Styela clava: one gene and its partner. Each later gene encodes a partner of the first gene's protein in a complex. Links are inferred from orthologs where the notes say so. Each region holds a gene or a part of one and is shown in the gene's direction. Other genes may lie near its edges.

Region 1 (8,117 bases):
AAGAAAAAGATAAATTAAGCACGGCATAGTGGACTGTGATCTATTAGCGTATCATATTTAATAATAAACAATTCAAGATTAGGCGAAAATAATGACGCAAATGATTGCTTTCTGTCACATCACATAAGAACAATATATTCTGTACGTTTTAAACCTTATCCAAGGTTTTGTTTACTCTCCTGATTTCCTAATCAGTTTTTATTTATTTGTTTTTATCAACCGTTTTATCGCCTTTCTGCTGATTATGGAGTTGAAATAAACTTATCTTATCTATCTAAGAAATGCATTGCGCGCTACGCAAAAGTAGGAAGTCTATCGCCAAAACGAGAGAGGCTTCAATTGGTCCCGCTAATACAGGGGTTCCCAACCTTTTTATCTCAATTTCCCACTTCCGATTTAGGCTGAGTTTTTATTTCCCACTACATATGGACTCACTTAAAAACAATAATTTTCCTGTCAATATTAATTGGTAGGACTTTCTATAACAGTGGTTCTTAAAGTATGGGTCGCGACCCAAACATGGGTCGCGGAAAGTTTAAAAGTGGCTCGCGACAAGGTCGTCAATGCAAGGGCAATCTAAGAGGAAAAGGACGAATTTTCAGCTTTCCCAATGTTTCAATTTAGCTTCTAAACTCTGGTATTTAAAAATAATGGAATATATAAAGTTTCATTCACGGAAAGAACTGTCTTGAGCTCATTGTTACATCACAATTCTGATATGCCAGTCACGTGTATTATTTTATGGCATCGGTAGCCATGCACGTCGCTTGTTGTTGTGTTGACCTCGCGAAATATCGTCTTAGTGGATTAAAATAACTAAAAACGGGTGTCTTTTTGGTAATGTAAATTGTAATAGACAACGCAATGAAAAAGCTCGCATCTCAACATTAAATTATTCAATATCTAGAGAAAATGTGACTTCATCTCGAGTCACCATTTACCACGAACGAAGCAGTGTGTGCACATTTGATGAGTAAAAAGTTGTATATTGCGAGAGATATCAAAAGCCAGCTAGGATGTCGTGTTTGTGACAGACTCTGCTACAATTCGCGACAAGGCACTTGTTCGAGCGAGGATTTTTGGCACTGACGGTTATTAAAACTAAGCTCGCAATCGCATCGATTCCCGTGACAACTTGCGTATTGCGCTCAGTAAAATAGAGCTGTGTATTGAATATATAATGAAAAGAAAATTTCAGTTTCATCAATCTCATTGAGTCAATGGACTGTTTCTAATAAATAGTTGTCTGTATTTGAGTCAAACTGTACTAACATTAAAAACACATTTTGCGTTATTTAGGATTGGGTCGCGAGTATTCGTGAAACTCAGATTTGGGTCGCGCTCAAAAAAGTTTAAGAACCACTGTTCTATAAGAAAGGCTTACAATTGGTGTAAAAGTTGAACCACCGTGAGAACATTCATTGCACCGTCCAGCATCCCAAGACAGTGACGATCCGTGTAAAGAAAATCAGCGTTATCCATCGAATAGAACAATTCAAGGGTTAAATTACAAAAATGCGGCGCAGACTTACTCGGCAGAATATCATCACAGACAAAGTTCCATCTATGTCTTTTCTCTTCGAATACTGGACCAATTGCTTTGAAATTTTCAGTGGTTAAAGGTAAAAATTTTCTCCAGAAGGCTATTACTTTTTTTTTCGCTATGACGTCATCAAAATTATGTGACTCTACGTGTCCATATATTTGAGCATAGCTCTCTTGTTTTTACATAAGCCATTACCTTTTTTTTTAAACAATTTAGCAGAATAGAGGGACGGTTAAATATTTGTTCATCAGAGCGCGTGCCTACCCAATATTTCGAGACATTTGAATAAAAACTTTCTCGTTTGCGGCTCTGCAACGAAATTCTTCTTGCGTAACATTTAACATTGGTGCTTGTTCGAGACATGTCTGTGAGGTTGTTATCGGCCGACCAACGATCAAAATGAGTTACGTAGCATGATCAAAAAATCATGGCCAACAACGTGATATTTTACTAAAGTTTCGATTAATTGAATGGGAATCATTTTCCGCTTCATGACATATATTGTGTTTTTCATTATGTAATATTCAATAATTGTGTTGTTGTGCGTACATTTTTAGAGGGGCATTCTATTCCCCACCTGCAACCTCCAAATTTCCCACTAGTGGGAAATTTCCCATCGGTTGGGAACCACTGCGCTAATATATCTCTATTGACATCGAAGATTTGCTTTTGGGAACTATTGGTGAATCTTCTGCGTGTTCAGCAGGTGACGTTGTCCGTGTACCGTGCCGACTGGGTGAGCCACAGTCGATAGCTTTCCCACTCATCGCGGACTGATGTCAGCTGAGCTAATGCACCACGACAAGTGTTTCACTCTTTGAGTTGGAATATCTTAGATGTAGAAAAAAACATGAACACATGGGCTGGGCACTGTAGCTGCGACGCCTGGCAAAGAAAGTGGAGCGATTCCACAATTCTCCGTCCTTGAACATGGTAGCCCACAGATATGTCAGTACAGACAGTATGTTAGTCGTTGGTACAGACTGTATGTTAGTCGTTGGTACAGACAGACTGTAGGTAGTACAGTAGTAAGTAAAATGATACTTGACTGATTCAAATCTGAATTTAAGATTTTATTTTATCATACGGCTTATTGAATTCGCATTGTATACCGGTAGTCTAATCCTGTAATTATCATAATTTTGCCTGTATCAGAGTATTGTACACTCGGTTTTTTTAGGCGTCACAGTGACGTAATAAAGTCCTTCAAACTATACGAACTGTTGATCCAGGGAAATCGAGCAAGGTATTTCTCTCGTTTTCTCGTCGCACAGAGATCGCTGCCGCCAGTGAGTTCTTTATCGTCGGCGCAGATGCCATTTAAGCGATCGTAGTTCTGTAGTTATACTTTGCCAACCTCTATGACGTAATTTTTGTATGGCGTAGTTAGGTTGGGGGATGTCAGGGTTGACATATGCAAAAATCGTTACCGGTATGCTACGCCCACTATAGAAGTACTTGATGAGGTACGAAACTACACGATACCCTAATGTTCTACCGTACCGGTAACGGTTTTGCAGGCATACCGGTACCGGTACAGATTTTCGAATAACGTTTATGATACTACGGTACAGCAAGTTTTTTAATCGTTTAAAAAAGGTTTTGGGGGGAATTCCACTCTGCAGAAATGATATTTTTTAATCGGTTTCCATGCACGTCTGAAACCCTGGCTGCCTGGAGCTGTTTTTTTGATCAATTTCTATCATGGATATATTTTATGTACTAATTTGTTACTTGGTGGGTCACCGAAAAAACACGATGGGTCAGTGGTTTGCCATCCCTATTATAGACTATCTACAGCAGGGTTGGACCAGGGGCCAAAAATTTTGCCACCTTGACTGACGGGCCATGATGTTGATAATAAATGAAGCACAACCGGTGTTAGCAAAACGATGTAATTTGCCAGTAGGTAGGTAGTATAGTAGTAAGTAAAATGATACCGGTACTCGACTGATTCAAATCTGAATTTAAGATCGATTTGCTGACACCGGTTGTGCTTCATTTATTATCAACATGAGTTTACCTGGTGGCAATCATGCACTATTTGGGCCATGTAGATGTTAGTGTGATGTAAAAAGTTACATTTTACAAATAATATTTACAGTGTTACAAAACTAAATGCGCAAAACAATGAGCCACGGCCAAAATTAAATTTAATCGCAATCGCAACAAATTTCTTGAGGAATTTTTCAGCTAAACATCAAAATTTGATTTTAGTTGGGTTGTGGCAGTCTCAGAGGCGCAGTTCTTACCACTTTATAGCCGGTCCTGCCACGAACGAACCGCAGCATCTCTTGCCATAGTTTATGGTGCTATTACCGGTATATTCACAAAGTCATGTACCAGATTTTAGTTTATCATGCGAATTATATCTACTGAAACCTAACCCCAAATCCATCAAAACTGTATCCACAAGGAAAAGGTTACAACTTACAGACTTACCCAAAATTTTCCACAATCAGACAATACAGCAATAGGGGCAGCCCTGTCATTACAGCCAACATGCCTTGGTTTGTGGCAGCAAAATTTTACCCGCCATTGGTTTTCAATTTGTTGCCGTGGTGCCTGCCTCACGCCATAGTGGCAGTGGCATCTAAAAAGTCTGCCACCGTGCTTCGACCATAGCGGCCATAGTTTGGAAATCCTTGCATGGTTTTGCGGCAGCTTCAGACACCACAAAATACATAGATTGAACTACTCATCGGACCGTATTTGACCCGCGGGCCATAGTTTGCCCATGTCAGACCTATAGTGTGAAAAGTGGGGTTAAGTCTAGTTTAGTACCACAAGTAGCCTACTTCCGGTGGGCGTAGCATAACAAATTTTGTATATGTTATTCCTAACCACCACCTGACTATGTCATTCAAAAATTATGTCACAGACACGTCATAGAGCTTGCCAAAATGCCAAGTATAGCTAGCATAGTCAAAAATGGCATCTGCGCCACCGAACACACTAATGCCAGAGGTCTCTCTCATATCAGGGTTGTTGCGACAAAAAAACGAGAGAAATAGCTTGCTCGATTTCGAGTGAACGTCTGCGCGTTTTGGACGACCATCCATACACTTTGGAGGTATTTATTATGCCACTGTGGCGTCGTAGTGACATAATTTTTGGGTGACATAGTCAGGTGGTGGTCAGGAATGACATATGCAAAAATTTTTGAGCCAGGCCAACTAGAAGTGCATGTGGTACTAAACTATACCAGACCTAAAAAATGTTGGGTTAGCATCGCCAACCAACCTAATATAATTGATACTTGTCATTTAAGTTGCAGTTAAAGTTTTGACGGTGACCCAATCAAACATCTATCCTGTTTCATAAGCAGATGGTTTTATAGACTATATAATTGCATACCCCTATATTCCTATATATACAACAATTCAAAACAATTATGTATACAATCGCTTACTGATAAAAAAATAACTTTATTTTCAAGGTTTAATAAAATATGTCTAATCTACTGTATTGTACTGAATTGTCCGGTAATCTGGTGATCAATACACAGATGTAAAATTGGGCTGCAATAAATGATGAATTTACTAAGCTTGAAAAAATTTTGGAATGAAACTCATTGATAATACTGAATTTAATGTATTGTATAAATACAAGTATTTCTTTGACTTTCATTATTCTGAACTAAATTCGTCATAATTGAAATACTGAATGATGAATGCTGTTACCATTCAACCGAAGAAAACTTCAGGAAAAGGATACAATACGCTTGTGAATGGTGATTGTTCGAGTGATTCTGAAAACGAACAAACAGAAAAGGTAGAGTCAAAAGAGATATTTGAAAATTTGGAAAAAACTGTGCAATGTGTCGATCAAGTCAATAATGGAGATATTGATTACTATAATGATGGTTTAACACCAATGGATACGAGCTCTTGTACTAATTCAAATAGTTCAGAACTTCAAGATGTCTCAAATCAAATCAGCATCAGTTTTGTAAATGACAAGGAAATATGTGAAAAAGCAATGAATGCAGCATTGGCTAATGCAGAAATTGTTAAAAATGCAAGGACTATGCTACCAACCACTTTAGTGGAACGCCAACAGGTCACTGCACTCAACAAGACACAATGTACAAATGCTCCTGGCAGAGCCTTGCGTAAACTGGACCCTCGTAAACTCAATTTAAATCTTGATCTTTTTAATTCAAAAACTCGAAAAAAAGAGAAAGCTAATTCATTGAGTGATAGCCTACCATCCAATCCTATGTCTCTACCTTCTTTGATAGAAACAGATGCAACCTCAAAATCTTGCCAAACAAAATCAGAATTAAAAAATTCTGAATCAAAGCCAAAAAAGGGTAAATCTTCGGAAAATGGTGTCGTCAATTTTACACCAAACAAAGTTCAGGTTCGCCAGCCTGATTCAACATCTAAACAATCATGGTTGCTTCGCCTCTTTGAATCACAGGTATGTACTGCTATTCTAGTGTTGTCATCATTAATGCTAATTACCTCCATCAACTAAACTACTTAATGTGAAATTATTATCTGCCAACCTGGGTTTGATCATACAACAATAGTTTTCTAGATACCATCTTCTTATTGTTTCACAACTAATTTTTGACCTATTTTCTCTTGCTTCTTTCCATCTCATGTTAGGTGAGAATAACTTGAAGAGAGCCTAACTTGATGTTAATTGAACCATTCAGGCATGATTTATTTTGTAGTATAATGTTGAATCCAAAGTTGGAGTGTCAAACCTTATAAAAGTTTTATAGATACAAAAAAAGGATCACGATTGAATTATGCTTTCCCCTAAACTTTAAAAACATCTTTTTGGGACATTATTTTATTACTCAGTACACCAATTTAGTGACAATGTAATCTATTCTGATTTGTTTTATTTGTGAAATATGTTGTCATTGAAAATTATATATATATATTGCAGCTGGAGCCAAGATTACCATAATAGATAGAGCTGGAGCCAGGGCTAACAGAAATTTTAGTGGCTCCAGCTCTTAAACATCCAATTATTTTTTCACATTCGAAAGTTTCAAGTCAAATTTGTGTAATTAAAGTTCAATTTTAAAATTTGAAATCCTAATAGTACGGTGTATCTTTAAATCACGCTCCCACATTGATAGTGGTTGTGTGGAAAAACTCACTGGCTGTTGATCCGAAGTTGGGGGCCAGCGTAATGTAAAATGAAGTTCTGCAGCATGAGCTGGAGCCACAGTTCTAATCTATTTTGGCTCCAGAGCCAATGTGATTTCCGTCCAGAAGTCCAGCTCTGCCCAATACCCACTGACACCAGCAAGCCTCAGTGTTTTTGGATGTGTTATATCTCTGGCTTGACTTCTATATATTAATTAAAACTGCAGGTTTTCGACATGTCGATTGCTCTTCAGTATTTGTTCAAGTCCAAGGAACCTGGTGTACTTGCTTACCTGGGGAATAAGCTCTTCACATTTCCTGAAGAGAAAGTTGATCTTTTCTTGCCCGAACTTTTAGTCATGTATATTCATATGGATCATGATATGAGAGAAGCAATACATCCATACATTGTTGCAAGGTAACTAATGAGGAGATGAATTATTGCCCTACCATCGGGCAAAGTTATCTTAAGTGAAATTGGAAGCTCTGACTCAAAGTGTCTTTCGAACCGCGGAACTCTTTTATATCATTAATTTTTCGCAGAACACCAAATGAAAATTTTTGATTTTGTGAAAACCATCTGAATAACCAATATTCTCGATTAGTTTTAGCATAGGAATGAAATTACAACAAGACCAATAGAGTCGTGAAAGACGTAACAAATTCGAACTGTTTAAATTTTCAAAATCAATATTTTGTAGGCCTACTTAATTATATAAACAGCCCTTAAAAATACTGAACCTAATCCAGTAATATATCCTAACTTTTTCGTAATTGTTTTTTTTATTACGGTACTTCAATTGAAACAAAGTTCCAACGCGAGACCTAGCTTTAGGTAATTTTTTATAATATAAGACAAAATGGCCGCTTGATTCAAACCTAAATTCTGAAAACATGGTAGTAGAATTTGACCAATGATGCCTGACATTACAGAAACGAGTCAATGTTCAGGACCATTCTTGAAAATGGTGTTCAGGCGACTGATTAAATTTTCACTTTCGTTAACATTTTGCTGTTTAGCCATTGTTTCGTAAATAAACTAGGAAGTCCGTTCCTGGGGAAACGTTAATTACACGTGACAGAATCTTTTTAAAAACTAAATTTACCTGCTTGACGGATTTGGATTTCTTTTTGTTATCATAAAATATACCAAAATATATGAAAAAAAATTGGGGGGACGACAATTTGACACGGAATACCTGAAGGTCTCTCACAGAATACCAGTGTTCCGCGGAACAGGTTGATAATCACTCATGTATGTTATATACTGTATATTTAGTCATGGTGCTCTTTGTATGGTAATTTAGTATGAAGGGATGTTTGTTTAAGAGTCTTACTTTTACCTGTCTGTATATAACATATGTTACTTTGTGAAGTATTATTTTGGTGTAAATACTGTAGTTGTTAGACTGTAATTTAGAACGTAAATGAAAAATTTAGTCTAACACTATGCAACTTGC
Region 2 (7,423 bases), about 14 Mb from region 1:
GTCGGTTACGGCTTCCTCCACCACCAAGTCCATGCTTCCGAAAACTAACAATATTACTAATCCCATACCCGACTTGGAATGGTAACCGGACGAGAGGCCGTGGTTCGCCATATGGATAAGTCGTCTTATCGGCTTTCCTTTCCCCCGGGATAAATATGTAAAGTCTTATCCTTATTCTCATTATCCTAATAAATACATAAATAACCGCACCCCACTGGGCGATTGGTTCATATTCTGTACTGTAGCTACGTTTTCTGTCTAATAGATATGCATTCCCAATAAGAATATGCTCATAGTTGTATGCTTTCAGCGTACCATACTTCGAAACCCAAAACCAAATATGTATTGAAGAATTAAAGACCTCAATACGGCCAATTTCGCACCCGACTCAGCTGAAGCAAGGGATTTTGGCAGCGAGCAATGCGTTTTCTTAATATGCAACGAACCATTTAGCCGGACGACGTAAAAAATGCAGGGAACAATACCAAAATGAGCAAATCTTTGCAAGTTTCCACTCATTGTATATATGCTCATTGAATTGAGTTATCTCTTTTCTTTTTTGAATGTTAGTTCGTAATCCCTAATCTTCGCCTTGGGTCAAAGACCAACCACAAGCTCGGCGAATTTGCTGTAGCTAATTCAGAGTACGTGTCTTGAAAACTTGTGCGGGATCTCTGGGTTTGCTTGTTTTAGACTTTGAGGAATCAGAATTATATATACAGTATTAATTCCACAAAGATGACGTATATTGGCTGATGAAACAGCCTTATTATATTGTTAGACGCTTATCTCGTTGTCCTACGAGTCCGTAGCCGGGCGGACCTTCAAGAGTTACGGTACCGGTGCCAAGGCAGGACCGTCAACCTGGACTGGTGTTTCGGTGGCGGTACGACACCAGTATAGGTTCAGGCGGTAGGCTTAGGTAAAACACCAAGCCACGGGCATATAGGATAGGATTTTCATAATTATCCTGGTGGAGAGTGAAGTCGATTAGACTGATTAATCATATGGCATGTATGGGGAAACACAGCCTAACCGTAAACGCAGGTAACTTCGGATGGTTTGTAACTTAGGATGAAATTTTCAGTCGTTTATATCTTGACTAAATTACGTCATATTTTGCTTCTGGCAGTTTCTATAGAGAGTCCTTATATATCTAAATCTGTTATCATTTTCAATCGCCTAATCTTATTTATTTTTTGACACAAAAAATCACATTTTAGCCAAAAATTGACACCTTGCAGCCTTGTTTTTGAGCGGCTAACATAGCGACTTCTGCCGACGCTAACTTCACTAAAAGACCGTCAATCGCTAGAGGGCATACACAATGTACAAGGAAAATTACAGTGATCACGAGATGTCGCGTGCGATTCAAGTAAAATATATTATTTTGATTTGAAAATTTCGTCAAAATATCGACGTTACGATGCTTACACTGAACGTGACGTCAACAACGTGATTCAATTTCGCTCCATCTAACGCCGACGTCACATTGCGTAGCTCGTGCGTAACTCGCTGCGACATTTGAACGCCAGACTATGTGGCGCCACGTGTAGTTAAATATAAAGTGAAAGCTCCTACCTGATCCTAGTCCTGTAGTCACCAAATCCTACAAAAACTTCATTATAGCCCCAGTCATCTGCTGTTTATTCATTGTGAATCCGTTTAAAGCACATCAAATTTGTGCGTCAATATTTTTGCATTCATTCTCCGAACGTATAGATGTTGTTGATACGTAAGGCTAATGAACAGCCAGTTACGCGTTTCTATACTATCACAATGATAAAGTATGTATGTTTACGATGATAATATCTTAAGCGTAGAATGTTGCACAGGTGAGCATGAAACTCAGGTGCACTCAGTAGCAGGTTGGACCACATACGAGTAAGTCGCTAAATGAAGAAAAGAGTATCAAAGTTTCTATTTGGCGTTTTATCCGTTTCATGTCATTTGACTTTGTCTATCTGCCTGTGAATACATTATATCTGAATTATGAACACGAGCCACAAGCTCCACCGTTCCGTATTGTTTTCCATTTCCACTGCCATTTTTTACTACCTATCGTAATTCATCATTCGTTTTTTTATTATTTTCATTCGTTTCATTTTTGTTTCGTATTAAAAATTGTTTTCCACTTCCATTTTTACGACTTAGTTTATGCGTCCGTTTTTTTATTTTCATTTGTCCCATGTTGTCTAATTTTTGTTTTGTATTAAAATGATCATATTAGCAAAATCTAGCACTTTCATGAAATTAAGAATAGTCAGAAGTAAATGGTTTAGTTTTGCGAAATGTCAGAAATAGCGATGGGCAAAATAATCATAAATTATTACATGCGTTGTATTTTGAAGCATTTTAGCGGTAATAATTATGGCGTGACACTGTCAAAATCGGCGGGTAAAGTGCTGAGTTCGCAAATTCCGTAGATAAAATTGTGAGTTAGTCGGTAACGATTTTAGCTATAATAACCGTCGGGTTATTGTTTTGTCCAAAAAAAATACGTTAAAACCTGAGGGAAATAGTTATATATATTTAGCGTCCGACCCGCTATTAGGACCAAAAGCCTTATGACAAGTATAAATGCATAACGACCGATTTATTCAATTATTATAATAAATAAAAATTCAGGATTCGTGCAATCGCAGGTGCAAAGCATAAGAACGTCAATCATCGTCTTAATAAACATCTCCATCCCGGTGTCGATAATAATATCATCGTTCTCTTTAAACTCGAACGATTAATAATATACAAACAGTGATAAGATCAAAGCCAACACATACGATAAAAATCAGAATAAAATTAATTTGGGTTTTGAAATCAGTCCTTCTTGTCTTCAAGAGCTGTTGCCGATGTAAACGCACGGGTATACCAGATCAATGACATTAAGCATGCTGCTAATGTCATTGACCAGATATATAAAACTTCAATACCCGCCGACCCGAAAGAATTAACAATCGGGAAAAAATAAAACGGCCGTCATAGATGAACGTCAGTGTGCGACACGCAAAACGGATCACGGCATCGTAAGTTCTACGCAGCGACGTTATCACGCGTCACTGATCACGCAGACATTTCTCTCTCACGACGAAGTGACGCAAAGCGAAAAGTGGGCATCCGAAGTTAGAAACATTGGGAATACAGATCTGCAGACAAATAAAGTCAATAATTTGATTGAAAAAAGGTATTGACTGATATGAAACCGAGTTTATCGTGAAGAGAAAGGCTTCATTGTATTATATTCCAATTTTGGCTTCAATTGAACAATAAACGGCGGAGAAATTGTTCATAATATAGTGAAATCATCCGAAGTTACCTGCTTTTACGGTATGCTACCATAAAACCGTTGGCTTAGCTTTTTGACTGTTCAAGTCAGTAAGTTCAATATCAAGTTTACAGCAATCCTTTTGGCTGTTTGGGTATGTCAGTTTCATTTTGTTAAGGATATTAATATAAAATTCGACTGCTATCCAAGTACCCCTGGTCCAGGTTGAGAACCCCTGGTCTAAAGAATAAAGGCAAAAGGTCAAATCTTCTTCTTCTATCTCTGCCTGGTTTTACTTCGAAAGGCTGAAAAAATTACAGAGCTGCTGGTCTGCAGCTCATGAAATTGCGACAAGTACTTCTATCTCCAATAGACGTAACATTAAAGGCAAACACTGAGTAATGGAAAGTAAACGACATAGAATGGTAGAATTAATGAATTGAATTGATGGATATACACAGCCTTTAAATTGAGAAACAATAAAGCATTTATAATAAATGCAATATGTAAAATATTCAATCATACTACAGTACTTTAGGTATGTTTACCACAATTCTGTTAGTTTTCGCGGCGCATTTGGCAACTCGCCACGATTGGGAACCGCTACATTACACAATTTTTCTATATCAATTTTACAGTTCATTTTTTGGTGTTTTGTGAGGCGAGATAAAAAGTGTACGTGTTCCGTGGCCGAAAAATATTGAGAAACGCTTGTGTAGAAAACCGTAATCAACCAGCAGTTACATGAAGATTATGGCAATCCTGCAATCCTCTCACACATATTTTCTGTCAATATATCCATCTCACAGTCTCAGGATTCCTAAACACAGCTCAATGCACCTACTGTCGAGCCTTTAGTGGTAGACTACAAGGTAGCGGCCATGTTCACAACTCGCTGCTGCATTCTGTGTCAATCATCGTTAGTCCATACATTATCAACAGGTGAGACAACCTGTGGTACTGTAGTATTTCCTGTTGGCCCTTCTCATAATTGCACGTTTCGTTCGGATTACCTGGTACCCATCATATTATTTTAAAATGGAGCGGCGATTGGTGAACTTGCGCCCATGGTAGTACCGATTTTTGATCTGCAAACCATACTGCAATATATTTCTTCTTTAGCATAATAATCACTCAATAAATTCTTCGATCAAATTTAGAACTAAGCCATGGCAGAGGCGATGCCTGCTGCAGTCGCTGTAAATAATATTGCACAACAAATGAATAATGTGTCGCTCACGGAGGGTCATACAGAGGTCAAAGGTGAAGTTGCGGACCAAGTTACACCACCAACAGGAAATACTACAGCAAGTTATGCATCAACGGATACACAAGATGAAGAATCATACTGGGGGTTTTCGTTACACGAAGCATATAAAAAGGCAATCAAATTTTATAAAGGTGATATTTCATAATTTTGTTAGACTTCTAGTTTTTTTTATTTATTTTTTCAGCATTCGCTCAAAGCAAGATTAAATGAACTCATTCTGAAGTAAAATATGGGCACTCACTCAGAAGTAAAGCAGACTCATCTCTAAGCAAAGTTACGCTCACTCACTCAAAAGTAAAGGAGACTCATCTCTGAGCAAAGTTACAGGCACTCACTCAGATTTGATGAAAATCATCTCTGAGCAAAGCTACGAGCACTCATGGCAGCGTTATATTTCCAAATTATTCGAGCCAAATTATGAGTTTTCTGATTCTAAAGACGGCTATTTTTTAATATAGAAAAACTGCAATATCGCAAATTATATTAATTTTCCCAGAAAACGAAGGCAAACGAACGTTTGACATGAGCTACGAAGACAAAGTATATCTCGCCGCATTAACTAAGCAAGCAACACTCGGACCTTTCGCACAACAAACACAACTGCCTGAAGTCGGATATTTAGATATGTTTGGAAATGATCGAAGGTTGGTTTTACACTAGATTTTTTAATTACCGTATATCCTCATTCCTCGCATATAAGCCGACCCGACAAATCGTGACTTGCCGAACGGGTTGTAGCTGATGGAATTAAGTTAGCATAATGCCATCTTGTTTGAGTGCGATCAGAGATATGCGCAATAAGTCAAATTTCTTCATATATTATTCTAATATTAACATTTGTATTGAATTGCTATAAATATACTTGGCTCAGCTCTAACTTAGGGCAGACAAAAATTTCTGTTAGTGTCCACGCTCGTTTTGTAAATATAACACGGTTTCACGAATTAGGTGCATTCCGGTTGTTATGATTTTTCAAGATCGTCACTGAGTAAAAGGCAATAAAATCGTGAAAACAGCTATGAAGCCGGGGATTCCACATAACTGAAGTCTTTGGAAAAACTTTTGCCATAAAAATTCTACATCTAAGCTGCGCTGCAATACAATCTCCGGGGCTCCCGAAGTATGCGAACCAAGATGGCGGACATCGGAATATAATATGTGTACTAGGTTAGGGTTAGGTCATAATTTTAGGTATAAATACTACGGGAGGCTCTTGGCTAGTCTTCGAACTGATAATAGGACTAAAATAAGGAAAACTGGAAAGAAATTATCGCCTAACCCTAACCTGTTACCCATGTTACGTTCCGATGTCCGCCATCTTGGTTCGCATACTTCGGGAGCACCCAATCTCCTTTTCGGAGATTCCTGTGTTTACTTGAAAATAATTATTTAAATTCTACTTTTCAGGAGAGTTTGGGAATCCTTGGAAGACATTTCCTCAAACGATGCTCGTAGGAATTTTATAAAACATCTTCAAGATTTAGCGCCGGTTTTTGTTCCTTTTATGACAGCCCATCAAAAACAAAAGGAGGAAGAAGAGAGAAAACGGTAAAGTTCATTTTTCACAACATTTTATTTTTCACGAATATTCTCGCATATATATCCAACCTTATTAAAACGCTTTTAAAACGGTGAATTTATGAAGATCAGCCCTGTCCCCTTTTCATAGACTCTCAAACTCATGGCCCCATTCTTATATAATCAATATTGGTACTCATGTAATATGTGAACCAAGATGGTGGATACCGGAACGTAGTATGTGTACCAGGTTAGGGTTAGGCCATAATTTCAGGTACAAATACTACGGGAAGTCACTTGGCTAGTCCCGGAACGGGGCTCCCGAAGTATGCGAACCAAGATGGCGGACATCGGAATGTAATATGTGTACTAGGTTTTGGGTTAGGCCATAATTTTAGCTATAAATACTACGGGAGGCTCTTGGCTAGTCTTCGAACTGATAATAGGACTAAAATAAGGAAAATTGGAAAAAAATTATCGCCTAACCCTAACCTGTTACCCATGTTACGTTCCGATGTCCGCCATCTTGGTTCGCATACTTCGGGAGTACCCCCCGAACTCATAATAGAACTAAGATAAGGAAAATTAGGATAAAATTATGTCCTAACTTGTAACCTGGTACACATACTTACGAGACGGAAAAAACAAATCATTGCACTAACCATTTCAAAGATTGCAACTTGCATGAATACTTGCCTCCTAGTTTCAGCGCTTCTGGAATATTTCACAAATTATTTGAAATTATATAATGGGAGTAGGACATTGTTTTAATCGAATATCTCCATCTCAAAATGAGAGCACAAAATTATCATTTTCTGGAAAATTCAATGCATAAATTTTCTCCTAAAGGAGCCTCTTAATGGAGGCCAGGGTTGAATTTTGTCCAGCTTCGAAAAAAAAGCATTTTCCACGGCTGGAGCTAACAGAGGGATGCGTTTTCTTTGCTGGAATTTGGGTCATGTGTTTTGTTTAGTGACATGTCCAGTATACAGCGTTATGATTGGCTTCTTTTGTAAGTCCACATGTGTGTGAGGCATCCATGTTTAGGCCAGCACACCATAAATTGATAGTCATATAAAAACTGGTAAGTTCTTGATTCTGTTTTCTTTTCTGAAAAGTTACAAACAACCATTGAAATGCCAAGGTCAACTGAAACTATAATTTTTCCCGCCTCCCATGTTTGCTCAGCCTTTTTTACAATTAATTTGTTTTTTAGGCTCGAAGAAGAGAGAATTCGTCAAGAAGAGGAGGAAAGCAAAAGGAGAGAATTAGAAGAAGCTCAAAAGAAAGAAGAGCAAATGAGAGAAGCAGAGAGAGTTCGACAGGAACAGGAGAGAATACAAATTGAGCAGAAGTATGGGAATCTTTTCACA

The links. The genes of interacting proteins can lie anywhere in the genome.
Region 2: the proteins of phosphatidylinositol 4-kinase beta-like (region 1) and Golgi resident protein GCP60-like are in contact, whole or in part, in an NMR structure (PDB 2N73), measured with the Homo sapiens proteins. The link is inferred for Styela clava from reciprocal best matches to the Homo sapiens genes PI4KB and ACBD3. Residues at the interface, in NP_001317650.1 of Homo sapiens: Val37, Gly38, Val42, Ile43, Asp44, Pro45, Val47, Ala48, Gln49, Lys50, Ala51, Cys52, Glu54, Val55, Leu56, Val59, Lys60, His63; in NP_073572.2 of Homo sapiens: Gln245, Ile246, Ala249, Leu250, Gln253, Thr254, Gln257, Phe258, Tyr261, Gln265, Tyr266, Leu276, Leu280, Gln283, His284, Gln287, Tyr288, Gln291, Leu292, Val295.

What each region holds. Positions count from the first base shown.
Region 1 is NC_135250.1:14,274,253-14,282,369, reverse strand, and holds the start of phosphatidylinositol 4-kinase beta-like, read left to right. Parts: upstream 1-4,967; 5' UTR 4,968-5,212; coding exon 5,213-5,971; intron 5,972-6,884; coding exon 6,885-7,075; intron 7,076-8,117. UniProt on the Homo sapiens protein: Phosphorylates phosphatidylinositol (PI) in the first committed step in the production of the second messenger inositol-1,4,5,-trisphosphate (PIP). May regulate Golgi disintegration/reorganization during mitosis, possibly via its phosphorylation.
Region 2 is NC_135250.1:774,183-781,605, forward strand, and holds the start of Golgi resident protein GCP60-like, read left to right. Parts: upstream 1-4,377; 5' UTR 4,378-4,431; coding exon 4,432-4,663; intron 4,664-5,028; coding exon 5,029-5,176; intron 5,177-5,939; coding exon 5,940-6,080; intron 6,081-7,266; coding exon 7,267-7,404; intron 7,405-7,423. UniProt on the Homo sapiens protein: Involved in the maintenance of Golgi structure by interacting with giantin, affecting protein transport between the endoplasmic reticulum and Golgi. Involved in hormone-induced steroid biosynthesis in testicular Leydig cells.